Linked DNA regions of Macaca fascicularis. The protein of the gene in region 5 purifies or fractionates together with the protein of the main gene of each other region. This does not show direct contact. Links are inferred from orthologs where the notes say so. Each region holds a gene or a part of one and is shown on either strand. Other genes may lie near its edges. The genes, in order: NMD3, NUP88, RCC1, CTNNB1, XPO1, YWHAE and NUP62.

Region 1 (3,500 bases), on a different chromosome or scaffold from region 5:
GCAGGAGAATCGTGTGAACCCGGGAGTCAGAGGTTGCAGTGAGCAGAGATCACGCCATTGCACTCCAGCCCAGGCGACAGTGTGAGACTCCATCTCAAAAAAAAAAAAAAAAGTTACTTTTGAAAAACCTACTCACAAGAATTTTCTGAAAATGAGACCATCAATGAAAACATACCTATAAATACTGATTTTAGCTGTTTAACTTACCTTACTCAAAGGGGCTTTGATTTTTTTCAAGCACAAAGCAAGAAGTTCCCTGGATTCTAAAGCACACTGTATCCAAGTTCCTGGTGGCTGAAAATACCTAAAAGAGAAGATAACATACTGAAATCCAACATCTCTCAGGAAACACAGAAATTTCCATCTGAATATACAGATATAACCCAAATTATTAACCAGGCATAATAAAACCCAAGGATGATATGAAGCACATAACTCAAAATACTTTAATGGTTCCAAAACTTTCAACTAGACTAGTAGCTTTAACTAAAAAGGTAAAATTCTGACTGAGAAAGCCACTACTAAAGTGATCTTATTATTTCAATCACCAAATCACTACTAAAATGTTCAGAGTCTCTTGAAGTTATGCTCTGAAAAACAGGTGAGAATTATCTCAAAATGGCATTAAAATTGTTTATCATGTACTTCTAAAATGCCTGAGAACTGCTTATTTTTCACAAAAAAAAGGTACATTAGTACCTCACAACACTATGAATCGCAATAGTTCAGTCTATTCATCTACATTTCAAGTCCTTTTCAAATTTCAAATTGTAAAACAATGTTTAAAATCTTAGGTAAAACCTGACTAAAACAAAACTTAAATCTCTCACACATGTGCTTTAAGGTTTTTAGTCCCGCCTATCCAGGGCTTAGCACAATGCCAGACACATCTTATAGTAGGTATTCAATAAATGCTTGTTAAATATAAAATACTTCCAAACGTATTATGTGAATGCCTTTTTGCCATACTTGTTAAATAACAGAGAGTTTTGATTTTCACTTTTCAAGGTTCAATCAAAAACATGACACAGGTCCCCCTTTGTTTATAAGTACATAATTATTTACTTATTTATTGGGTTTTTTTTCTTTCTTCTTCTTTTTTTTTTTTTTTTTTTTTTTGAGACAGAGTCTCACTCCGTCGGCCAGGTTGGAGTGCAGTGTACAATCTCGGCTCACTGTAACCTCTGCCTCTTGGGTTCGAGTGATACTCCTACCTCAGCCTCCTGAGTAGCTAGAATTACATGCATGCCCCACCATGCCCGGATAATTTTTGTATTTTAGTAGAGACAGGGTTTCACCATGTTGGCCAGTCTGCTCTCAAACTCCTGACCTCAAGTGATCCACCCACCTCAGCCTCCTCAAGTGTTTGGATTACAGGCGTGAGCCACCATGCCTGGTCTATGAGTATACTTTTAGAGTTAGAAAAGGCTTCACATATCACCTAATAAAACCCTTCATTCTGATGAGGAAATTGAGGCCCAGAAATGATAAACGGCCAAGAGTTTCAAACAGCTAGTTTGTGAGGAAGCCAAGACAAACTAAGTCTGTTTAGTTCTTTATCAGTACTTTTCTAACTCCACCAGGCTTTATAATAGCAAATAGTTACAACAGATTAACCCTCACACGTGCTAAGCTTGTATATTGTAAACTCCCCAAAAAAGTACACAAAGCTTCATGTGTTTGTTCATATATATATATGTGCAAATATTTGGGGGGAGAGATACAGTTTTCAAATTCTCAAAGGAGTCCATGAACCACCCCTCTAGAGATACACACTCAAAAAGTTAGGGTCTTAACCCATTTTGGAATAAACCCAAAAGGCATATACTTTTATACTCATTAAGCAGTTTTATGTTTCTCCATGGCCTAATAGATGTAAGTTATTTATCACAACAAAGAAAATCAAGAGGAATGAAACATTAACTTTCAGAAGTCTTCTGCCTTCAAATACAATCTTTATTTCAGACCATTCCAGATATGATTTACTGAGCTTCTTTTCCATCAACAATAGTTATTTTAATTACACGTGAACGTTATAAGAGTTTTTAAAACATATTACTAAATTACTACAAACATAAGGTGCTTTTTATCATACATGGCTTCTAATAACTAAAGAAAAAAACCTCATAATAACAAGAATATGTCCTCAATAATCTGCTCTCACCCTTACAAACATCAACTCCCACCTATTAATTGTATATATCAAATCTATTAGATCCTTTAACAGAAGGACAGAGTCAAATACCTTTACACTATCTTTACCAGATTAGAAGGACACACTAGAAAAGTACACTATAAAATTGCAAATTCTGAAATCTTTGGCGAAACCAACAGAACATTTAAACTTTAACTGCATGCACTTTACTCCATATACCTTCGTGTAATCTCAGCATATCTCAGTGGTTCTCTAAATGTAAATTCCAACTTTAAAAAGAGCAAAATTGTACTGCACCGTACCTCTGACATTGTTTGCAGAATGAAACCGAGACTTGTTTTGGAATACCTTGGCTGATGTCCACTTTACTTCGCAAACAGGCCACACAAATATTGGCAGGATTTGGACTTATCGGAACACCACACTCACAGCACAAGCTTCAATAAATAAAGGATACATTTTTCAAATTAGATTTTTAAAATACACTAAATTTTTTTTTTAGATGCCAAACAAATAAAAGCCTTCAAGTTAGGCCATAGTATCTTTGCTCTTTTTAAAAAAATGACAGAAACAAGGCAACCTGGGCCAGTCGCAGTGGCTCCCGCCTGTAATTCCAGCACTTTGGGAGGCTGAGGCAGGCAGATCACCTGAGATAATGAGTCCGAGACCAGCCTGGCCAACATGGTGAAACCCCATCTCTACTAAAAATAGAAAAATCAGTCAGGCATGGCGGCACATGCTGGTAATCCCAGCTACATGTGAGGCTGAGGCACGAGAATCGTTTAAACCCAGGAGGCAGAAGTTGCAGTGAGCCACATCACGCCACTGCACTCCAGCCTGGGTGACAGACCAAGACGATGTCTTAAAAAAAAGAAACAAAGCAATCTTCAAAGATGCAGTAGATAAAGAATAACCCTGTAATACAGGGGCAAAAACACCAAAAATGGCTATAATTCTAAAAATCCTCAATACAAGGCCGATGTCCTAAAGCTTCTAGAGAGTCAGTTCTGTCCAACAGAACTTCATGTCATGATAGAAATGTTTTATTCTGGTCTGTACAACAAGGTAGCCACTAGCCACATGTGGCAAACTGGGCCATGAAAAGTGACTAGTACAACTGAGAAACTCAATGTCCTTTTTTTTTAAAAATTCAGATCTACATTTAAATAGCCAGTATGGGTCTAAACAAGTCTTTTTCTATTAAAAGCAAATGAAACTATATTGCCACATTAAAACAAACGGCGGTATATTGATGAATACAAATCTTGCACTAATTTTAATTTTAAATACTTAAATACAATTAAAAAACGTGAACGTGCTCTTTACCACAACCAACACTATCCAT
Region 2 (3,500 bases), on a different chromosome or scaffold from region 5:
ATTAGGCAAGTGTGGTGGCGCGTGCCTGTATTCCCAGTTACCCATGAAGCTGAGGCAGGAGAATCGCTGGAACCCAGGAGGCGGAGGCCACAGTGAGCTGAGCTCGCGCCACTGCACTCCAGCCTGGGCTGAGGAGGTTGCAGTGAGCTGAGATCATGCAACTGCACTCCAGCTTGGACTACAGAGCGAGACTCTGTCTCAAAATAAATAATTTATTTTAATAATTTAATTAAATTTTATTTATTTATTTATTTGAGATGAAGTCTCGCTCTGTGGCTCAAGCTGGAGTGCAGTGGTGCGATCTTGGCTCACTGCAACCTCCGCCTTCCGGGTTTAAGCAGTACTTGTGCCTTATCCTCTTGAGTAGCTAGGACTACAGGTGTGTGCCATCACACCCAGCTGATTTTTTTTTTAGTAGAGATGAGGTTTCACCATGTTGCCCAGGGTGGTCTCAAACTCCTGAGCTCAGGCAATCCACCCACCTGGGCCTCCCAAAGTGGTGGGATTACAGGCGTGAGCCACTGTGCCTGGCCTCAAATTATATAATATTTCATACATATATATACATTTTAGGATGGTTTGACTTAGGATTGATACATATTTTACACAGTACAAGTGTTTTCAGATATAGTATCTCATTTGATGCTTTTACTAACCCTGTTAGGAAATTACAAGGGCAGATATTATCAATCCTGTTTTTAAAACGAGGAAACAGAGACTTAGGAAATAAACAGTTTAAGGGGACTCAACTTATAAGCTGTGGAGCTAAAAGTAGTTTCTACCTTATACAGATGATCCCCAACTTTACAATGGGTTTACCAGTACATAATCCATCATAAATCGAGGAGCTCCTTATGACTTATGATGGGTTCATAATGTTGAAAAATCCTATGCTGAACCATCCTAAATCAGGGATCATCTGCTGTGCTGTCAGCAATGAATGCATTTTCAACTTACACTGGGTTTATCGGGACATGACCCAATCGTAAGTTGACAAGCATCTGTACTCTTTTGAGTAGATCTTTCAGATTCACTTTTCTGGATTTGTTGAAAAAGAAATTATATAAAAATAGGCCAGGTGCGGTGGCTCACACCTATAACCTCAACACTTTGGGAGGCTGAGGTGGGTGGATCACTTGAGGTCAGGAGTTCAAGACCAGCTTGGCCAACATGGTGAAACCCCATCTCTACTAAAAATACAAAAATTAGCTGGGTGTGGCAGCGCTTGCCTGTAATCCCAGTTACTCGGGAGGCTGATGCACGAGAATTACTTGAATCCAGGAGGCAGAGGTTGCAGTGAGCCGAGATTGTGCCACTGCACTTCAGCCTGAGTGACAGAGCAAGACTCCATCTCAAAAAAAAAAAAAAATATATATATATACACACACACATATATACACACACACATATATACACGCACATATATATATATATATAAAATACTTACTTCTACCTAGTTGAAAGAATGGCCTAGCCTCCAATGAGAGAGCAATGTGGTACTTCAGGCAGAATAAAAGTACAATCAATCACACATATACTATAAACATTGGTAACACAGAAGCCAGTCTGCAGACCACGAGGAGTGCTCTAATGTTTCAAGAGCAGTATACTAAACATGCTTAAGAACCACTGGTCTTGAACAATTTTCTGTATATATAATAAATGATACAGATAAATACCATACAACTTACCTACAATTCACTGTTGATTTTCCACCTTCAAATTCAGAATTCTTCCCCCATCTCTTGGGTAATTCTAATACCATAAGTCCTTTTATTCCTATAAGTGCTACATGATGTTGTGTTGGACTTAACAAGACTTGATAGATTTCAAACAGGGGTGGATTTATGCAAAGCAATCTCTGAAAATTAAAGCAAACCAGTCAATATAGTTAGTTTTAATATAAATATGGATGGCAGTTACTTGAAATCACAGTAATAGTTTAGTTTACAACAATTATAGGATAATAAAACTCTGGGTAAGTGCTCACACTTGTACCATTACCTCATGTTTTTTTGAGATGGAGTCTTGCTCTGTCACCAGGCTGGAGTGCAGTGGTCCACTATTGGCTCACTGCAACCTCCGCCTCCCGGGTTCAAGCGATTCTCCTGCCTTAGCCTCCTGAGTAGCTGGGACTATAGGCGCACATCACCACGCCCAGGGAATTTTTGTATTTTTAGTATAGACGGGGGTTTCACCATGTTGGCCAGGATGGTCTCGATCTCTTGACTCATGATCACCTGCCTTGGCCTCCCAAAGTGCTGGGATTACAGGCGTGAGCCACCGCCCCCGGCCATGAAATTTTTTAAATCATCTAGATTGGAATGTTCCATAAAATGCATCAGATTTCCTTACCTTGATAAATAGAGACTACTACACGTAATGTTCCTTCTTATAATCAAGCTCCACCCTACTACTCCAGGTCTCAACTCTCCACCACTCTTCTGCTTGTACCTCACACTCCAAACAGATTAATTGGTATTTCTGTATTTCTGGGAGATCATCATGCTCTGCCATGCCTTTGTGTCTTTGTACAATTGTTTCTCTTCTTGCAATGCTTTTGATTTTTTTCTTTTTTAGCTAACAAGACTTACACATTCTTGGGAGATTCAGCTTCTATGCACTTTCTTCCCCAGAAAACATCCCTGATCTTCTGGCCAGGAATAAGTGCATATTTTCTGTTGTTTTTTTTTTTTTTTTTTCCTGAGAGAGTCACGCTCTGTCGCCCAGGCTGAAGTGCAGTGGTACGATTTCGACTTACTGTAACCTCTGCCTCCTGATTTTTAGTAGAGATGGGCCTCCTGGCCTCAACTGATCTGCCCACCTCAGTCTCCCAAAGCGCTGGGATTAAAGGCGTGAACCACTGCGCCTGGCCATCTTTTCTGTACATCAATGATATGCTCTGGATAATTCTATCATACTTATTATCATCCAACATTCTAATTGTCCTTTTTACTTGCTCATCCCACACAACTATGAATTACCTGAGATCTACATCTTTCCTCTCTGTATTCTTAGCATTCTGGCATACTGCTGACTCTCAACAGACGCTTAGTAGATAGACATAAACTCAGAATTAATAAGCAATGATAATTATTATATAATAGTAAAGAATGGCTTGAAGGCCAAGTACAGCGTCTCACACCTGTAATCCCAGTACTTTGGGAGGCTGAGGAAAGTTTGAGACCAGCCTGGGCAATACAGTGAGACCTCGTTTCTACAAAAACTGGGGGGAAAAAAAGGGTGGCTTTAAGAGCTTCTGTAGCAAGCAGAATGCTGCTTTACCCATGAAGGCTTAATAACAGTGATCTTTTCATGAGATTCTGGTATGTTGTGTCAGCACCACATGTCCTCAAAATTCTCTTCTTCTCTTGGTTCTATTTGTTCTCCCATGACCATCTGTTTCTTTTCTTTCTACTTTCAGGAATATGTTATGAGACTGCCAAGGTATTGTTTATCTTTATGTATGAAGAATCACCCTAAGCCAAAATGCTTTTAGA
Region 3 (4,221 bases), on a different chromosome or scaffold from region 5:
TTCACAGTACATCATCCAAAAGAGGAGTCCATGATGGAGGCAGAGGTAAACTTGGAGAGGTAAGAAACTCTGAAGACGGGGGAGTCCTTTGTGGCAGGCCCTGCATAGAAGAAATTCAGCCTGGCCAACATGGCGAAACCCTGTCTCTACTAAAAATACAAAAATTAGCCAGGTGTTGTGGCAGTCACCTGTAATCCCAGCTATTCAGGAGGCTGAGGCAGGAGAATCGCTTGAACCCGGCAGGCAGAGGTTGCAGTGAGCCGAGATCACAACACTGCACTCCAGCCTGGCTGACAAGAGCGAGACTTGGTCTAAAAAAAAAAAAAAAAAGTTCAGTTGGTAAGAACTCATCAAAAGTGTCCATCTAGACTTTGGGTGCAGTAGAATGACTCAGAGTCTGAATCAACGTGAAATCAACAAAACATCATTTGCAAGGGTTTCAGGGAACACCTGAAATCCTGAAGAACTGTTTGTATCCATCCTGAAGAATGGGTGTATTAACAAGAGACAGCCTTTCCTTGGTACCTGTTTTCCATCTCCAACCCAACCCCAACTCACACCCTTATCTCCTATTTTATCTGGTCTCTCTCGTTCCTCTTGCTCTTCCCCACTTGGCTCCCGTTTTCCCCAAGTCCATTCTCTATTTTGTTCTATAAGATCTGATCATATCGGGATGCTTTTGTAGCTCATAAGAATGATGACTGGGTGTTCACACGCATGTGAGATGTGCCTCCCTCAAACCTTAAGACATGGGCACATACCCATCTGATGTTAACTCACGGGGCACAAAATCTGATCATGCCATTCCCGTGCCCAAATCCTCATATATCCCCACTGCCTCAGGATACAGGCTGGACCCCTTGGACACACAAGACCCTGCATCCATGATCTGTCACTCCCACAGGCACCCTCTGCTCCCATCTACTTGGCAGTTTCCCACAACCTCCCTGGGTTCTCATGGTTCCCTGTCATTGCAAACGTCGCTTCTCCTAGGATGTCCTGCCCTCCTAGACTTAACTTGGAAAGCCGTTCTTAAGCCCCGCGCTGAGTAAGATGCCCCTGTGGGTATCACGGTCATAGCGCTGTGTGGTTGCTGAGAGTCTGATTTTTCATCCTTCTCCATGCCCTCTTGAGGGTAGGGAAGATATCTTTTTTCTCCGTACAGACCCTACCGCACGAGATTTTCCTAAACAGACCGAATTCAAGGAGTCTTTCTGGTTGTTAGTCCACGTGTCCCGATTTGGGGTTTCCAAAATACACACTCACTGGAACCGGGCCAGGGGAGCCAGCCTGGCCAAGAGCTCCCCCCAGCCCGGGAGCGCGCCACATGCAGATCCTGGGATGGCCGCCAGGGGCCGCCGGGCTCTTTGTTTTCCTTTCTCGCCCGGGTCGGGGCCAGAGGCCTGCAGAGCGCATGCTCTGGGGCAGTACGCGGCCCGGCGGGGAACGCTGGAGTTCCTTGTGGCCGACGTGCACCGAGGTAGGTCTCGCTCAGGGCGCGCGGAGGGTCCGGGCAGAGGGCGGTGCGCGGGGCGGCCACAGCCGGAGCACGGGCCGGTCCACGCGGGCCTAGGTCGCTGTCCGCTTTCGCCCGTGTCGCGCGGCGCTGGCCCCACGTGAAGCCCGGCGGCAGGAAGGCGCGATGCGGGCTCGCGATTCCCCGGCCCCGCGGGGCGCTCCAGCGGCCGCTGGGCCCCGCCTCGCGGGAGCTAGGGCCGCGCTGCCCCTCCGCCGCCGCGCCTCTCACGCCTGCACCGCGGCGCCCGCGCAGGCGGGAGATTCAAACGGCGCGAGCGCGATGGGCCGGGTGCGCGCGGCCGCCCGGGCGGGGGATGGGTCTCTGCCGCGAGGAGAATGGTTTTGTCCAGCATGCGTTTGGAGAAGGCGGTTTGCAGAGCTGACAGGGAGCCCTGCCCGGGAGAGGGTGGATCTTCAGAGCTCGAGGGTGGGTAGTTGGGGGTCTGCTGCGGCGAGAGAAGTCCCAGCGTCGGCAGGCACCCAGGCACCGCTGTGGACCTTTGGGAGCCGTGTGTCTCGAACTCCGCAGCAGCTCAATCTGTCAGCAAATTATTTGCTGGCCATCTATTCCGTGCCGCTCTTGCAGGGCTGGGGGACAGTGGTGAGAAGGGCAGGCCCGTGTCATTAGCGAACTATGCCCTGGAGCCCGGGCGACGAACGCTACTGCCAAGTCTTCATTCATCACATATTGACCTAACTTCGACCACGTGTGACTTGTGTGGCCTAGCAAAAGTTGAGTGTGTGGGGTGTTACGGGAACCCTCAGGGGGACCCCCCGCCCTACCCAGGAGGCTCAGGGATGGCTTTCTAGGTGAAGTGACTCTTGAATGGGGTTTTGAAGGAACAGAGTTTTTCGGGCAGTCTGAGGGTAGTGGGATTAGGGTGATTCAGGCAGAGGGACTGCAGGTGCAAAGGCATGAAAGTATAGATATTGTGGTAAGGGATATCACAGGTCTTGAGGTGACTGGAGGAGGAGAGTAACAAGATGATACAGCAAGGGCTGGGTCATGAAGGGTCTTGGGTGCAAGACTAAGGAACACTGCGGGGTGGAGGAGGCAGGGAAGGATTGCCCCAAGAAGGACATCAGAGTGAAACCTGGACAGATGAATTAGGAGTTCCCGAGGCTCTTGTTTCAAAGACATCCCAAGAGCAGGAATCCTGTTCTGTTCCTCTTTACAACTTTCTCATCAGATGCCCTTGGGCAACCCACCCAGTCCCCCAGAGCATTGGTTTCCTTATCTTTATAGCAATGGTAGGGGGCATGTGGTGAGGATATATATATATTTTTTTTTTGAGACGGAGTTTCCGCAATTATTACCCAGGCTGGAGTGGAGTGGTGCGATCTCGGCTCACTGCAACCTCCGCCTCCCAGGTTCAAGCAATTCTGCCTCAGCCTGCCGAGTAGCTAGCTGAGACTACAGGAACAGCGCCACCAGGCCCCGCTAATTTTTGTATTTTTTTTTTTTTTTTTTTTAGTAGAGACGGTGTTTCACTATGTTGGCCAGGCTGGTCTCGAACTCGTGACCTCAGGTGTCCACCTGCCTCGGCCTCCCAAAGGGCCGGAATTACGGGTGTGAGCCACCGCACCCGGCCAATTTTTTTTTTTTTCCTGATACGAAATCTTGCTCTATCGCCCAGGCTGGAATGCAGTGTCGTGCTCTCGGTCATTGCAGCCACCACCTCCCGGGTTCAAGCAATTCTCCTGTCTCAGCCTCCCAAATAGTAATATCCTATAATTTTCATAAAGCAGTCATTCCAACATCTAGTGGAAGTTGTGGGTCCCTTCCCCCAGGAAAAATGAACACATAGACCCAAGCACAGGTTGTATCCAGTGGGGATCCCAAGTGAGAAACTCCTAGTGTGAAATATACCAGCTCTGTGCCTGGCGTAACAGCAGCTCACCAAATGTATATTGTTGACACACGAGCCCTCTCCTCCCTTCCCTCCTGGGGACCTTTCACACAAAGAGATTTTTCAGCCTGAGTCTGGCAGGCAAGTTCTCCCTCCTGGCGTGGGGGACGGAGGGCACAGCTGCAGTGGTCTGGGAGGGCTCTGTCTCCTTTTACAGAAATTGAGGCTGTGGTGAGGTCACTGGAGGTCAGGGCAGGAGCACCAAACTCCAGGCAGACTGTTTAGACTGGCATGCCTACCCACTTTCTTCAATAAATAAGGAAAGTGAGGTGGGGTAGGGCAGCTCTGGCTCTGGTGGAGCAGGGTCATGAGACTGGGGTTTCATTGCACCTCTGTGGGACCTGGGCCACCTTTCCCTGAGCCTCATCTTCCCCTTGGCTGTAAAACCGGGATGAATCTGCTCACCTCAAAGGGCAGCTGTGGGCATTCTGGAGTGCCTGATGGTGGAAGCTGACTCTGTAGCCAACTTATCTGGGACTGTCTCACTCTTCTCCCAGAGACTGTACGCTCCTTGAAGAAGGAAGCTGTGTTGGGTGGGGCTGGGCAGGGAAGCGTGATGCTAAAAGCCGACTCCTTATTCCCAGCCCAGACACTGCCAGGTTAAGAAAACAGCCACAGGCCGGGCGCAGTGGCTCACGCCTGTAATCCCAGCACTTTGGGAGGCCGAGGCGGGTGGATCATGAGGTCAGGAGATTGAAACCATCCTGGCTAACACGGTGAAACCCCATCTCTACTGAAAAAAAAAAAAAAAATACAAAAAATTAGCCGGCCATGGTGGCAGGCACCTGTAGTC
Region 4 (3,500 bases), on a different chromosome or scaffold from region 5:
ATTATATTTACTAAAGCTTGGGGTCCACCACTAGCCAGTATGATCAGCTAGAAAGATATATACATATCTTGTTAGTCATGGAATCTTGATCACATGTCTGAGAAGAGCCATATTACCAACATATTTTATTATACAAGAATTTCAGCCAGCTTGTCATTGGACCTAAATGTATCCCTGGACCCCATCACTCTGACCCCCATACTGGGGCCCTATCCAACTTGTCCTTTTAAAGCATTCCACTCAAATTCAGACATCCCAGTCCTCCCAAGAATGTATCAGTTTTGGCCCAATTTCCTTCTTCCCATACTGATCATAGCAGAAGAAAAAAATTTAGAAACCATGTTGGCAGGCAAGATTAATGCCCTAAGATGAAAGTTATATCAAAACTGATTCACTGAAAATTTGAACCAGAACTGGCACTTAAAACTCCTTATCACTTGGCCCTTTAATTTTCCTAATTATATCCACCTTAAAAAGAGATACCATAAAATGATCATTCACTCTTGTCCTTTCATCCCCTGTGTATCTTCCCTTTCAACACTGCCCCAATTTTCTAAAAACAAATTTCATCATTTCATGCTTCTGCTGAAATTTCCCATTGTGCTTTTAAACATGCTGTACAAAGCCCTATGAGATCTGCTGAGTCTATCTCAATAGCCTCACCTCAAACCTTTCTTCCTCTTTACTGTTAGTATTTCTTAAATTCCCAAAACTTTCCATCTCCTTCCTTCGTTTCAAAGATGCTGTTTCTCACCTAACCTTCACCTAGTGAATCCCTTCTCATCCTTGAACACTGAACTCAACTATCACTTCCTCCAAGAGGTACCTCCTTGAACCCTCATAAAGAGTCTGTTTCACTTGTGTAATGTGCTCTCATAGCCCCCACTTCTTCCCACTACATGAATTAAATATTAGGTTATTATTCCCAACATCTACATCCCACCTAATTACAAAAGTGTGAAGAGAAGCTTGCCTATGATATCCCTATTACTTTGCATAGTGCTTTACATATGGAAACTCAAAAATTTAAAAGAACAGAAATGAACTGGGCTGCACAGCAGGAGGTAAGTGGCAGGTGAGCGAGCATTACCTGGCTTGAGCTCTACCTCCTGTCAGATCAACTGCAGCATGAGAACCTCATAGGAGCGGAAACCCTAGTGTGGACTGCACATGCGAGGGATCTAGGCTGCACGCTCCCTATGAGAATCTAATGCCTGACTATCTGAGGTGGAACAGTGTCATCCAGAAACCATTCCCACAACCCATTCATGGAAAAACTGTTTTCCACGAAACTGATCCCTGGTGCCAAAAAGGTTAGGAACACTGCATGGAATGACATGACACTGGAAGTGTCCGATGCTCCATGAAAACCACATAAAGAAGAATTCTCTTACCTTGCTTTCTTGGTTGCCATATGCTAAAATTTGAAGGCAGTCTGTCGTAATAGCCAAGAATTTAACGTTTGTTTTGTTGAGCAAGGCAACCATTTTCTGTAGCCCGCCAGCTAAACGCACTGCCATTTTAGCTCCTTCTTGATGTAATAAAAGGTTGTGGAGAGTTGTAATGGCATAAAACAACACAGAATCCACTGGTGAACTGGGAAGAAGAAAAAAGCCTCATCAGAACTATTGTGACTATACTCTTCTACTTTTTAGCTTCAAGCATTCTGACAATGTTTTCTTACCCAAGCATTTTCACCAGGGCAGGAATGCCTCCAGACTTAAAGATGGCCAACAAGCCCTCCCGATGATGGGAAAGGTTATGCAAGGTCCCAGCGGTACAACGAGCTGTTTCTACATCATTTGTATTCTGCATGGTACGTACAATAGCAGACACCATCTGAGGAGAACGCATGATAGCGTGTCTGGAAGCTTCCTTTTTAGAAAGCTGATGGACCATAACTGCAGCCTTATTAACCACCACCTATAATACAAGAATCAGAAACATCATTAGTTTTCAAGTCCTGGTAGTGGGTAGACATTCTGAACCTACTCCCCTTGAGCATTTACTTCAAAGCAGACTAAAAAGCTAGCCATGTCATTGCTCACCTGGTCCTCATCATTTAGCAGTTTTGTCAGTTCAGGGATTGCACGTGTGGCAAGTTCTGCATCATCTTGATAGTTAATCAAGTTTACAACTGCATGTTTCAGCATCTGTGATGGTTCAGCCAAACGCTGGACATTAGTGGGATGAGCAGCATCAAACTGTGTAGATGGGATCTGCATGCCCTCATCTAATGTCTCAGGGAACATAGCAGCTCGTACCCTCTGAGCTCGAGTCATTGCATACTGTCCATCAATATCTGGAAAAGGTTAATCAACACTCACTATCCACAGTTCAGCATTTACCTAAGTATTTGCTATCCTAAATGGTAAAAGTGGCATTGCTATTACTCCCTTTTCTTCACCACAACATTTTATTTCAACTATTATATACTAACTTTTTAGTTCTCAAAACTGCATTCTGACTTTCAGTAAGGCAATGAAAAATACTCTTACCAGCTACTTGTTCTTGAGTGAAGGACTGAGAAAATCCCTGTTCCCACTCATACAGGACTTGGGAGGTATCCACATCCTCTTCCTCAGGATTGCCTTTACCACTCAGAGAAGGAGCTGTGGTAGTGGCACCAGAATGGATTCCAGAGTCCAGGTAAGACTGTTGCTGCCAGTGACTAACAGCCGCTTTTCTGTCTGGTTCCATGGCCATGTCCAACTCCATCAAATCAGCTATAAATATGAAATAGTATTAGCATTAGTAGATTGGAAATGTTACTTTAATTAAAAAAAAAAAAAGAATCTGTGATATGACCCATTGAAATATTTTTAGAAATAAAGTCAAATCTGAAAGACAGCCAAGAAAAGCAGAATGATAGCCAGGGTTAGCTCAGTGATGAAATACCTAATCCCTTAGGGGACCACCTAACAGTTACTCACTGAATCAGTGGAAGAATGGTACTGCATCCAGGCTCCAGAAGCAGTCATCCAGACTAGATTCCTGCTGGTGGCTTGTTTGCTATTTCACCAAGCCATTAGGAGGAGTGAGCAGAAAATGGAGCAAAAGGTAGCCTGACAAGTAAGCAGGGAGAGAGGAAAGCAGGGGAATCTCAGCCAGACTGGCTTAATGGCAACGAAGCAGAGCCCCAATTCAGTAACTAAAGATTTATGACACAAACCTTGAGTAGCCATTGTCCACGCTGGATTTTCAAAACAGTTGTATGGTATACTTCAAATACCCTAAAAAAAGTTAATCAAAAGTCATTAGGATTTAAATTTAGCTTGATTAATACTCCTAAGTCACTGGGATATCTGTTAAATGTCACTATTACACCCACAAAAAAAACCCCATATACTCTTTTACCAGGTTATTTGGTGAAACACAAGACCTCATGGTCTCCTCCAGACACCTCAACCACAGCTCCATCACTGCTGAACTTCAGTGAAAACTCCTCCTTACCAAATACATCTTTTTATTAATAGTAGAAATATAAATTACAGATAATC
Region 5 (3,500 bases):
GTGGCTCACACCTATAATCCCAGCACTTTGGGAGGCTGAGTCAGGCACATCACCCTGAGGTCGGGAGTTCAAGACCAGCCTGACCAACATGTAGAAACCCTCTCTCTACTAAAAATACAAAATCAGCCAGGCATGGTGGCGCTTGTTTGTAATCCCAGCTACTTGGAAGGCTGAGGCAGGAGAATTGCTTGAGCCTGGGAGGCAGAGGCTGCAGCGAGCTGAGATCATGCCATTGCACTACAGCCTGGGCACCAAGAGTGAAACTCCGTCTCAAAAAAAAAAAAAAAAATTATCCACATAATTACTGAAACAAAAGCCATTACACTTCCCTTACCCTAAATCATATTTATAATCCCAAATGGTAAAAACGAACACAAAAGCCTTTTTGTCCATATCTACCTAAGAATGAAGTAAAATATTTTTTGAGACGGAGTCTCGTTTATTCGCCCAGGCTGGAGTGCAGTGGCGTGATCTTGGCTCACTGCAAGCTCTGCCTCCTGGGTTCACGCCATTCTGTCTCAGCCTCCTGAGCACAGCTGGGACTTACAGGTGCCCGGTGCCACGCCCAGCTAATTTTTGTACTTTTAGTAGAGACGGAGTTTCACTGTGTTAGCCAGGATGGTCTGGAGCTCCTGACCTTGTGATCTGCCTGACTTGGCCTCCCAAAGTGCTGGGATTACAGGCGTGAGCCACCGCGCCCGGCCCAGATTTTCAGGTTTTTTTTTGAGATGGAGTCTTGCTCTGTCGACTAGGCTAGAGTACAGAGGCTCGATCTCGGCTCACTGCAACCTCTGCCTCTTGGGTTCAAGTGATTCTCCTGCCTCAGCCTCCTGAGTAGCTGGGGTTACAGGCATGTGCCACCAAGCCCAGCTAATTTCTGTATTTTTAGTAGAGATGGGGTTTCGCCATGCTGGCTAGGCTGATCTCGAACTTCTGGCCTCAGGTGATCCGCCCGCCTCAGCCTCCCAAAGTGCTAGGATTACAGGCGTGAGCCACCACGCCTGGCCCAGATAATAAAATGTACAAAGCCACACATAAAAGCACTTACGGATCACACATACATGTTTAAAGGCTTGAATTCAATATATTTGTAAGGAACACAGTCTTCTTAAATCCCATGAAAACTTTAAGAAAAAGTAGAATACTTACTTTGGTTGCCTGCTGGATTATACTATCCCACACTTGATTAGGGAGTAACATGTACTTTTCTATCAAGTGTTCTTGTACTGTTTGATCTGTTTGTGCACCAATCATGTACCCCACAGCTTCATAAAACGTATGAACCTATTTTAAAAAGCAGACATTTTAACTTTTATGTTCTTATACACCCTAATAAGGAAAACCACACACAAGCAATTCACACACAAGCAACTCAAATATCTTGAAACTGATTTTGGCCCAGGTGCGGTGGGGATCACTCCTGTAATGCCAGTACTTTGAGAAGCTGAGGCAGGCCAATCACTTGAGTTCAGGAGTTGCAGACCAGCCTGACCAACGTGGTGAAACACCATCTCTTCTACAAATACAAAGAAATTAGCCAGGCATGGTGGCAAGTGCCTATAATTCCAGTTACTTGGGAGGCTTGAATTGCTTGAACCTGGGAGGCAGAGGTTGCAGTGAGCCGAGATTATACCACAGCACTCCAACCTGGGTGACAGAGGTAGACTCCATCTCAAAACAAAACAAACAAACAAACAAACAAACAAAACCCAAACCAGGCATGGTGGTGGCTCATGCCTGTAATCCCAATACTTTGGGAGGCCGAGGCGGGCGGATCACAAGGTCAGGAGTTTGAGACCAGCCTGACCAACATGGAGAAACCCCGTCTCTACTAAAAAGGCAAAAGTCAACTGGGCGTGGTGGCACGCACCTGTTAATCTCAGCCACTGAGGAAGAGAATCACTTAACCCCAGGAGGCTGCAGTGAGCAGAGATTGTGCCACTGCACTCCAGCCTGGACTCTATGATAGAGGGAGACTCCGTCACACACACACACACACACACACACACCCCCCCAAAAACAAAAACAAGAATCTGTCTCACTATGAAAATTTAATCAGGCCGGGCATCGTGGCTCACACATATAAAATAATTTTGGGAGGCTGAGGCTAGCGTATCGCTTGAAGCTAGGAGTTCAAGACAAGCCTTGGCAAAACCCCATCTCTACCAAGGGGGGAGAAAAAGGCTAGCTGGGTGTGAAGGCGGTGCACGCCTGTAGTCCCAGCTACCCACGAGGCTGAGGTGGGAAGATCACCTGAGCCTGGGAGTTCAAGGCTGCAGTGAGTCGTAATCGTGCCATTGCACTTGAGCCTGGGCAACAGAGTAATACCCTGTTCTCAAGGAAAAAAGAAAGTTTAATCAGAAACACTTCTATTGGATCCAACAGTTGCCTTCCTATTTCCACTGATACATACAGATTGATACAGGTGTTACTTTCTAAAAATAACATATGCTCAGTGCTTAACATACCTGTTGAGGCTGAAGATCACAAATAATAGTGTTAATGTTGTTCAAAATTTCATCAATAAATGGCATCACTTCTCCAACCTGAACCTGAACGAAATGCCTACGGCATTTTTGGGCTATTTTAATGAAAGTATCACAAGCCATGTCCTGGACTCCATCATGGGTCTCTAACAAGACAAAAACATTCATTTATTTTGTTCAATAAAAATAAAAACAAAATATAGTAAAGAAAGAGATTTACCATGCATGAATTCGAACAGCTTGTTAACTACAGTCTTCAAAAATTTCCAGTGAGCTCTCAAAAATCGTGGATATTGACCTACTATGTACATGATATTTGATGCAATAATAGCTTTATTATCTTTGCCTCTTTTCTGTTCACATAATCCTAATAGATCCTGTAAATAAGACAGATTTATATCATTTATTGTAACAACATAATACTTATTTAGCAATTCTAATTCATACCTATCCCTTGCATACCTTTATAACAGTAACAAGAAATCGTTTTTCATCCTCTTCATGCATTGCTCCACTAATGGAGCCTATTGCCCAACACAATGTATTCAAATTTTTCCACGACCACTCTGTACCATTCACTTGATTGTGAAGCTTCTCTGTCATTATTCTTTCTGTATCTACATAATCCAGATGAGTAAGATAAACTACGAAAAAAAAATTGTTTCAAATGCAAATAATGAGCAAAGAGTTTTACCAATGAATACCATGTTTAGAAAATATTTAGAAACTACAGTACATTTTCTAAAATATATTTCTACCCCAGAATAAATTTATAAAGGTAAAGATTAACAGTATTTATTAACTTACCTAATGTTTCCCTCATATTCTTATACAAATTTATGGAATCTGTATCCTTCATGAATTCTCTCACAACTTCTCCTTGATCATTCTCTACAACCAATACTTCCTCTGGTTTAGCCATTCGACTAACCATTAATAAACGGACCTATATTCAGCAATAAATCAATCAAGAAAAAATCATTAGATCACTGAAATCATTAGTGTAGAAGCTTA
Region 6 (3,989 bases), on a different chromosome or scaffold from region 5:
ATACAGCTTAGCTCTTCCTCCCGTACCATTAAATAATCCATATAAATTGATTCCAACGCCCCAGGATAGAATTAAATGAGGGTACATGTAAGTTTAGGCATTAATTCAACACAGCAAGCAAAATAAAATAGGCCTACTGCAGTTAACAGAAAGATAAAAGAGCAGCTGGAAAACCAGCATTTGGGTACAAGTATCCAACAAAGAAATCCTGCTAATATACTGTCTTACCTTCTTCCACCACCGACACCTGCTAAATTCTGTTTGGTGACCAGGACTCCGGCAACACTTCGTCCCAGAAACAAAAAAATATTGCACTCAATAAAGGAATGGACACAGGCAGAGGACACAGGTAGAAATTCCTGGTGTCTGTCTCCTTCTCCTCCTCTCCTTTCTACTGAATCCCTACCATATGCCCCAAGTCACAGGAATAGCTCCTCACCTTGCAGATTCTATTTCCTTACCCCTTTAGATCCTGAAGGGGACACCTAACATTAACAACTGTAAGGATGTGGCTTTATCAGAGTCCTATGTTCAATAACCAGTAAGGGCTCTGGTCAGAAATCTTCACCACTCACATCAAAAATATAATTATCACTAACCTGTCATTTAATTGGAAACTACAATCATAAGCTTTCAAATCGGTTTTTTAAAGGAGCTTTCAAAAAAAAGACCTTCTCTCACATCCTTTCTAGTTATCACAGCAAGTTTACTCAGAGCTCCAATGCCCACAAAACAGAAAGCATTCAAGTATAATTTGTTTCCTCCCAAGAACACTAATAGATGAAGAGGGGAACATCTGGAGATGAGGAGCGGAGGAGGAGACTTCCAATACAAGCACATCTTTATCTGTTTGATTTTTAAACACTGAAATAAAGACAAAGCTGACCTTGAGCTGCACTTCCCCACCTAATTCCCCTCCCTCTCCCAACAGGAATCTTGTTCAATACAAATAGCAATTTAACAATTTACAAGACGAAATTTAGTTTAGTATTATTCCAAATTTGACTTCTAGAGGCCTTGTCTTATTTTCAAATCCCTGAATCCTCGTTTCTGATAAGGGGGAGTAGCCCTGAGGTTATTCACATGACTAAATCTGCATTTCCAGGAAAGCAACGGCCCTACACAACATTTTGAAATACAGGTAGCTTAATCAGGAAAAATCTAAGGATCAAAGATACTTGATTCCAACCATGTCTCATCCCACCCTACCACACAAAAGCATTAAAACCACAGGACCCACATACATGACTTTTCCTTTAATACTACAGTATCGCACAATTATAAATGTGAGGGTATTTCAAAAGGTGGACTGGGAGGGAGGACTAAGAATAAACTTCCTGACAATGACTAGACAGACACAATGGATATTTCGATAAAGTTATGAAAAAGGACTGGAGAACCCGTTATGGGCAAAGGAACAACGAACAAAGAGGAACTACTAAAATTTCTACATAAACCCATTTATTTGAAATGGAAAAAAAGAAAGCAACAGGATCTCCAACCTTCATAACTCAAAAACCCCAGCCTCAGCCGAGTGCCTGGAATAGGTTAAGCTCCCCCACGAAGTACAGACCAGCATCCCGAGCCTGCAGAGTCAACCAAAATACAGTGACTGAACACTATTGGAAATAACTTTATTTCAACAGGTCTTTCCATGTGTCATGATGGTGCGCACAAACTGTAAAGTCATCGTTTTTACAAACGGGTGGACTGAGGCTCGGGCCCTACAAAGGCTCGAACTCTCAGAGTCGTGGCCTCCTGGTCTCCTGCTTCTATCCATCAGAACCCACTGGTGATGCAGTCAGAGAAAGGTTACAGGAACTTCGAGGTCTCCCGTTTTAAGTCTGAGGAAAGGGGAGGGAGTGAGGGTTTTCTGGGCCTCCCCAGCAGGCGGCGAGGAGGAAAAGCCCCAAACCCCCTCACTACGAGGTGCCGGCCCACGGGAGAGAAACCCGATCGCAGCGTCGGCGCCTGCCACCGCCCCAGACGAACCGCAGTGATTCCCGCTCACCCCTCTCCCCCCACCATCACCCGGGACTGTCCCCCGCCTCAGGCCTGAGGAAGCCCATCGCTCTGAAGGCTTCTCCTTTGTGAGACTCCACGGCCGCCGCCCCACACGGGGCCTCCGGGGAAAAGCCACCGCCCCCACCCGCCATATTTCCCTGAAAGGCGCCCGCGCTACAGCTCCCGGTCTCCGCTCTCTCCCATGTGGCGGGTGCTGCTTCCCCCGTCACCGCACCCAATTGTTCTCCACATCCCAAGACCGTCCCAGAAGCTCCCCTGAGGGCTGCTCGTTCGGAGACAGCACCCGCCATCTCCTCCCCCTCCCCCGCCCCGAGACTCGCCCTCCCCCCAGCCGCCATTTTACAACCAACTCCTCCACCCCGTCTCCCCGGCCTCCCGGCCCGCGAGTTGTTTGCAGTTAAGGACGGCGAAGGGGTCACATTCCAAGGCATACAGCCTCCCATTGCCCCGGGAGCTCCCAGGCCATTTCCTGCTTCCCGAACCCAAGCCCCCGGGCCAGGCTCGCAGACGATGCCGCCATTTTGTCTCCTGTTCCCGGCCTCTGTGGGCGGCGGCAGAGGGAACGAGAATTCCAGCCCCCCGCTGCCCCCCCAACTCACCGTCGTATCGCTCAGCCTGCTCGGCCAGCTTCGCCTGGTACACCAGATCCTCTCGATCATCCATAGCGGCAGCGGCTCCGGCAGGGTCTGCGCGACGGATGGAAGCGGATAGTGTCTCCGACTCTCTCAGCCTCTCGCTCCGCGTCCGGGCAGCAAAAATGGCGGCGCCTCAATCCGGGACTTCCGCCTGCGCACGCGGACAACTGCTCAGCTCTATGGCAACCGCTCCCTGGCAACTGGCGCGGGGGGCGGGTCCTGGAACTCGGCGCCCGAAGAGGCTGGAACCAGCGCAGGAGACGCCCCTCCTCCGTCGGCTCAGCGGGCGCCGGAGCCCAGAGGCGGGAACTGCGACTGCTGAGAGGGAGCGGCCCCCGGGGAACGGGAAGGGCTGAGGCGGGGCCGGCCGGGACTGCTCCTGAAAAAAGCCGGCGGGAAACCTGGGCCCGAGGCCCGACCTGCGGAAGAGAACGACTGAGGCGCTAACGGTTTCTGTCATGGCAGGTCTTCCTCCCCGAAAGCAGCGGCTGTCACTACCGTGTCCTGGTTTCCTTTTGTGTTTTTGTTTTTTTTTTGAGACGGAGTTTCGCTCTTGTTCCCCAGGCTGGAGTGCAGTGGTGCGATCTCGGCTCAACACAACGTCTGCCTCCCGGGTTCAAGTGATTCTCCTGCCTCAGCCTCCCGAGTAGCTGGGATTTCAGGCGCCCGCCACCAAGCCCAGCTACCTTTTGTATGTTTAATAGAGACGGGGTTTCACCATGTTGGTCAGGCTGGTCTCGAACTCCCGACTTCAAGGTGATCCGCCCACCTCGGCCTCCCAAAGCGCTGGGATTACAGGAGTGAGCCACCGCGCCCGGCCCGCGTCCTGGGTTTCTCCGCCACTCCTGGTCATGGGCCCATTTCAGACACTTTTACACTCAGGGTAACGAACTGGGCCCTGGCCGGGCGCAGTGGCTCACACCTGTAACCCCAGCACCTTGGGAGGCCAAGGCGGGCGGATCACAAGGTCAGGAGTTCGAGACCAGCCTGGCCAACATAGTGAAACCCCGTCTCTACTAAAAATACAAAAAATTAGCTGGGCGTGGTGGTACATGGCTGTAATCCCAGCTACTCAGGAGGCTAAGTCAGGAGAATCTCTTGAACCCGGGAGGCAGAGGTTACAGTGAGCTGAGATCCCCCCATTGCACTCCAGCCCAGGCGACAGTGCGAGACTGTCTCAAAAGAAAAAAATATATATATATATACACAAAAATTCGCTGGGTGTGGTGGTGCACGCCTGTAATCCCAGCTGCTTGGGAGGCTGAGGCAGGAGAATCTCTTGAACCAGGGAGTCGGAGGGTGCAGTGAACCAAGATCACACCATTGCAC
Region 7 (3,055 bases), on a different chromosome or scaffold from region 5:
ACTAATGCCATATCGAGCACTGTCACCTCCAGCCAGGGCACAGCACCCACTGGCTTTGTGTTTGGCCCCTCCACCACCTCTGTGGCTCCAGCCACCACATCTGGAGGCTTCTCATTCACTGGTGGAAGCATGGCCCAGCCCTCCGGTTTCAACATTGGCTCAGCGGGGAATTCAGCCCAGCCCACCGCACCTGCCACTCTGCCCTTTACTCCGGCCACGCCAGCAGCCACCACAGCAGGCGTCACGCAGCCAGCTGCTCCCACAGCCACAGCCACCACCACCGGTACTGGGCCCACCCTCTTTGCATCAATAGCAACCGCTCCAACCTCGTCTGCCACCACCGGACTCTCCCTCTGTACCCCTGCGACCACCGCGGGAGCCCCCGCTGCCGGGACACAGGGCTTCAGCTTAAAGGCACCTGGAGCAGCTTCGGGCGCCTCCACAGCAACATCCACCACTGCCACCGCCGCGGCCACCAGCAGCAGCAGCAGCACCACCGGCTTTGCCTTGAATTTAAAACCACTGGCGCCAGCTGGGATCCCCAGCAATACGGCAGCCGCTGTGACTGCTCCACCTGGCCCTGGTGCAGCTGCAGGGGCGGCCGCCAGCTCCGCCATGACCTACGCGCAGCTGGAGAGCCTGATCAACAAATGGAGCCTGGAGCTAGAGGACCAGGAGCGGCACTTCCTCCAGCAGGCCACCCAGGTCAACGCCTGGGACCGCACGCTGATCGAGAACGGGGAGAAGATCACCAGCCTGCACCGCGAGGTGGAGAAGGTGAAGCTGGACCAGAAGAGGCTGGACCAGGAGCTCGACTTCATCCTGTCCCAGCAGAAGGAGCTGGAAGACCTGCTGAGCCCGCTGGAGGAGTTGGTAAAGGAGCAGAGCGGAACCATCTACCTGCAGCACGCGGATGAGGAGCGCGAGAAAACCTACAAGCTGGCCGAGAACATCGACGCGCAGCTCAAGCGCATGGCTCAGGACCTCAAGGACATCATCGAGCACCTGAATACGTCCGGGGCCCCCGCCGACACCAGCGACCCGCTGCAGCAGATCTGCAAGATCCTCAACGCGCACATGGGCTCGCTGCAGTGGATCGACCAGAACTCGGCCCTGCTGCAGAGGAAGGTGGAGGAGGTGACCAAGGTGTGCGAGGGCCGGCGCAAGGAGCAGGAGCGCAGCTTCCGCATCACCTTCGACTGAGCGACAGCAGGGCCCTGGGAGTTCCATGCGGGGAACGCGCCCTGTTGTCTAGTTTGGGGTTGTGGCAAGATACATGTTTCTTTCTTTCACGTGACTGCCTTTGAGACAATTGCTGTGTGCTTTGCCTTTTTCCATGTAGGAAGTATTCTGAGCCCTCTGCCCAGGCAGCAGCCTCATGGGTGTGGCTTCTGTGGCTTTTATTTGAGTGTCTTTGGCCCCTTTCCAGCCACTGCGACCGCCCACCTCATCCTGGCTCGACCTGGTGATGGAGACGCAGTGGTGGTCTTGGTCCCAGCCAGGGTCGCGGGGACAGCTGCTCTCTCCAAAGCGTAGTCATAGGTGTCATGAAAAAATACCAAATGTAAGAGAACCTCCAAAGCCTGCAGGGCGCAGTGGCTCACGCCTGTAATCTCAGCAATTTGGGTGGCTGAGGCAGGCCGATCACTTGAGGTCAGGAGTTCAAGACCAGCCTGACCAACATGGTGAAACCCGTGTCTACTAAAAATACAAAAATTAGCCAGGTGTGGTGGGTGCCTGTGATCTCAGCTACTCGGGAGGCTGAGGCAGGAGAATCACTTGAACCTGGGAGGTGTTGCAGTGAGCCAGGATCACACCACTGCACTCCAGCCTGGCAACAGAGACTGTCTCAAAAAAAAAAAAAAAAAGCGTCCCAGGAGACAGCAGCCTAAGTTTTGGAGTAGGAGGTGTGTGCCTGTGAAAGCTAACCACCAAGACAAAGCAGCACAGTGTGAATAGAACAAACAGTGGGATCGAGAATTGCACAGAAGACAGGTCAGCTGAGGGGCCTACACACAGAGGCCTGCCTTTTGCCTGGCCCAGGCTTACCCCCACCTCTGGGCCTCACCTCCTCCAGGAAGCCTTCCCAGCTACCCAAAGCTCAGGTGGCCTTCTTGCAGGTCCCCGTAGCACCCTGAGCCTGTACCTTGGGTAACACTTGCTATGCTGTCCTGTGCTAGCCGTTTGCGTCCGTCTCGCGGTTAGATTGTGAGCTCCCACGGGCAGAGACCCACTGTTGTTCCCCTGTATGTCCCCAGCCCAGTCCAACAAATGTGACTGGGACATTTATTAAATGAAAGAACAATGAAGCCCGGCATAACAACAGTCCACAGAAATAGCCACAGCTGCCAGTGGTGGCCACGGACATGGCTCTGAACTTCCTGGCACCAGAGTGACTCTAGTCAGTTACAGTAAAATCCACTGTGTGTGGAAGGCAGAAGCCAGCAGTTGTATCCCAAGTGTCTTTTGTATTTGTCTTTATCCTTTGCTGCATTCTCTGAAATACCTATTACTGTATGTTGCTTTTCTAAATAAATGTATTGTGAAACCAAAAAGGCTGCTAATATGGATAAATGTTAGGAGGAGAAACTTGAGTAAAAAGAGCAGCTTTCAGGAGACTCTGCAGGGGTGTCATTCACGTGAAACGCAGGGGCAAGCAGTGCTTGCATAGACACAGGAGCATGTGATGAAGCAGCTTTTGTTTGATGAGACGGAGTAATAGAAAATGCAAATTGTGGTTTGCTCCGGGAAGGGGTGGTGCCTGGTGGTAGAAGAGGAACACGCGAGTGAAGCCACCACGGGGAGTGGGCCCTTGGTGTTTGTGACTGTTATGTCATAGAATATACACAAATATGGCTGGGCGAGGTGGCTCACACCTGTAATCCCAGTACTTTGGGAGGCCGAGATAGGTGAACACTTGAGGTCAGGGATTCAAGACCAGCCTGGGCAACATGGTGAAACCCATCTCTACCAACTACAAAAAAGTTGGTTGTGCATGCTGGCACGCACCTGTGTCTCAGCTGCCTGGGAGGCTGAGGTGGGAGGATCATTTAAG

Evidence for each region.
Region 1: the proteins of XPO1 (region 5) and NMD3 purify together in Homo sapiens (affinity purification with western blotting; 3 studies listed by BioGRID and IntAct, with this or other methods). This does not show direct contact. The link is inferred for Macaca fascicularis from reciprocal best matches to the Homo sapiens genes XPO1 and NMD3.
Region 2: the proteins of XPO1 (region 5) and NUP88 purify together in Homo sapiens (affinity purification with mass spectrometry; 3 studies listed by BioGRID and IntAct, with this or other methods). This does not show direct contact. The link is inferred for Macaca fascicularis from reciprocal best matches to the Homo sapiens genes XPO1 and NUP88.
Region 3: the proteins of XPO1 (region 5) and RCC1 purify together in Homo sapiens (affinity purification with mass spectrometry; 3 studies listed by BioGRID and IntAct, with this or other methods). This does not show direct contact. The link is inferred for Macaca fascicularis from reciprocal best matches to the Homo sapiens genes XPO1 and RCC1.
Region 4: the proteins of XPO1 (region 5) and CTNNB1 purify together in Homo sapiens (affinity purification with mass spectrometry; 3 studies listed by BioGRID, with this or other methods). This does not show direct contact. The link is inferred for Macaca fascicularis from reciprocal best matches to the Homo sapiens genes XPO1 and CTNNB1.
Region 6: the proteins of XPO1 (region 5) and YWHAE fractionate together in Homo sapiens (co-fractionation; 3 studies listed by BioGRID, with this or other methods). This does not show direct contact. The link is inferred for Macaca fascicularis from reciprocal best matches to the Homo sapiens genes XPO1 and YWHAE.
Region 7: the proteins of XPO1 (region 5) and NUP62 purify together in Homo sapiens (affinity purification with western blotting; 4 studies listed by BioGRID and IntAct, with this or other methods). This does not show direct contact. The link is inferred for Macaca fascicularis from reciprocal best matches to the Homo sapiens genes XPO1 and NUP62.

The regions. Positions count from the first base shown.
Region 1 is NC_088376.1:64,190,379-64,193,878, reverse strand, and holds part of NMD3 (60S ribosomal export protein NMD3), read right to left. Parts: intron 2,593-3,500; coding exon 2,458-2,592; intron 305-2,457; coding exon 208-304; intron 1-207. UniProt on the Homo sapiens protein: Acts as an adapter for the XPO1/CRM1-mediated export of the 60S ribosomal subunit.
Region 2 is NC_088390.1:5,477,772-5,481,271, forward strand, and holds part of NUP88 (nuclear pore complex protein Nup88), read right to left. Parts: intron 1,862-3,500; coding exon 1,692-1,861; intron 1-1,691. UniProt on the Homo sapiens protein: Component of nuclear pore complex.
Region 3 is NC_088375.1:206,513,537-206,517,757, reverse strand, and holds the start of RCC1 (regulator of chromosome condensation), read left to right. Parts: upstream 1-1,421; 5' UTR 1,422-1,480; intron 1,481-4,221. UniProt on the Homo sapiens protein: Guanine-nucleotide releasing factor that promotes the exchange of Ran-bound GDP by GTP, and thereby plays an important role in RAN-mediated functions in nuclear import and mitosis.
Region 4 is NC_088376.1:104,069,814-104,073,313, reverse strand, and holds part of CTNNB1 (catenin beta-1), read right to left. Parts: intron 3,234-3,500; 5' UTR 3,186-3,233; coding exon 3,173-3,185; intron 3,066-3,172; exon of another isoform or gene 2,934-3,065; intron 2,727-2,933; coding exon 2,499-2,726; intron 2,303-2,498; coding exon 2,049-2,302; intron 1,924-2,048; coding exon 1,685-1,923; intron 1,597-1,684; coding exon 1,395-1,596; intron 48-1,394; coding exon 1-47. UniProt on the Homo sapiens protein: Key downstream component of the canonical Wnt signaling pathway.
Region 5 is NC_088387.1:60,431,905-60,435,404, reverse strand, and holds part of XPO1 (exportin-1), read right to left. Parts: intron 3,433-3,500; coding exon 3,294-3,432; intron 3,131-3,293; coding exon 2,949-3,130; intron 2,864-2,948; coding exon 2,707-2,863; intron 2,633-2,706; coding exon 2,469-2,632; intron 1,285-2,468; coding exon 1,150-1,284; intron 1-1,149. UniProt on the Homo sapiens protein: Mediates the nuclear export of cellular proteins (cargos) bearing a leucine-rich nuclear export signal (NES) and of RNAs.
Region 6 is NC_088390.1:1,505,493-1,509,481, forward strand, and holds the start of YWHAE (14-3-3 protein epsilon), read right to left. Parts: upstream 2,801-3,989; 5' UTR 2,689-2,800; coding exon 2,625-2,688; intron 1-2,624. UniProt on the Homo sapiens protein: Adapter protein implicated in the regulation of a large spectrum of both general and specialized signaling pathways. Binds to a large number of partners, usually by recognition of a phosphoserine or phosphothreonine motif.
Region 7 is NC_088393.1:57,890,287-57,893,341, reverse strand, and holds the end of NUP62 (nuclear pore glycoprotein p62), read left to right. Parts: coding exon 1-1,203; 3' UTR 1,204-2,555; downstream 2,556-3,055. UniProt on the Homo sapiens protein: Essential component of the nuclear pore complex. The N-terminal is probably involved in nucleocytoplasmic transport.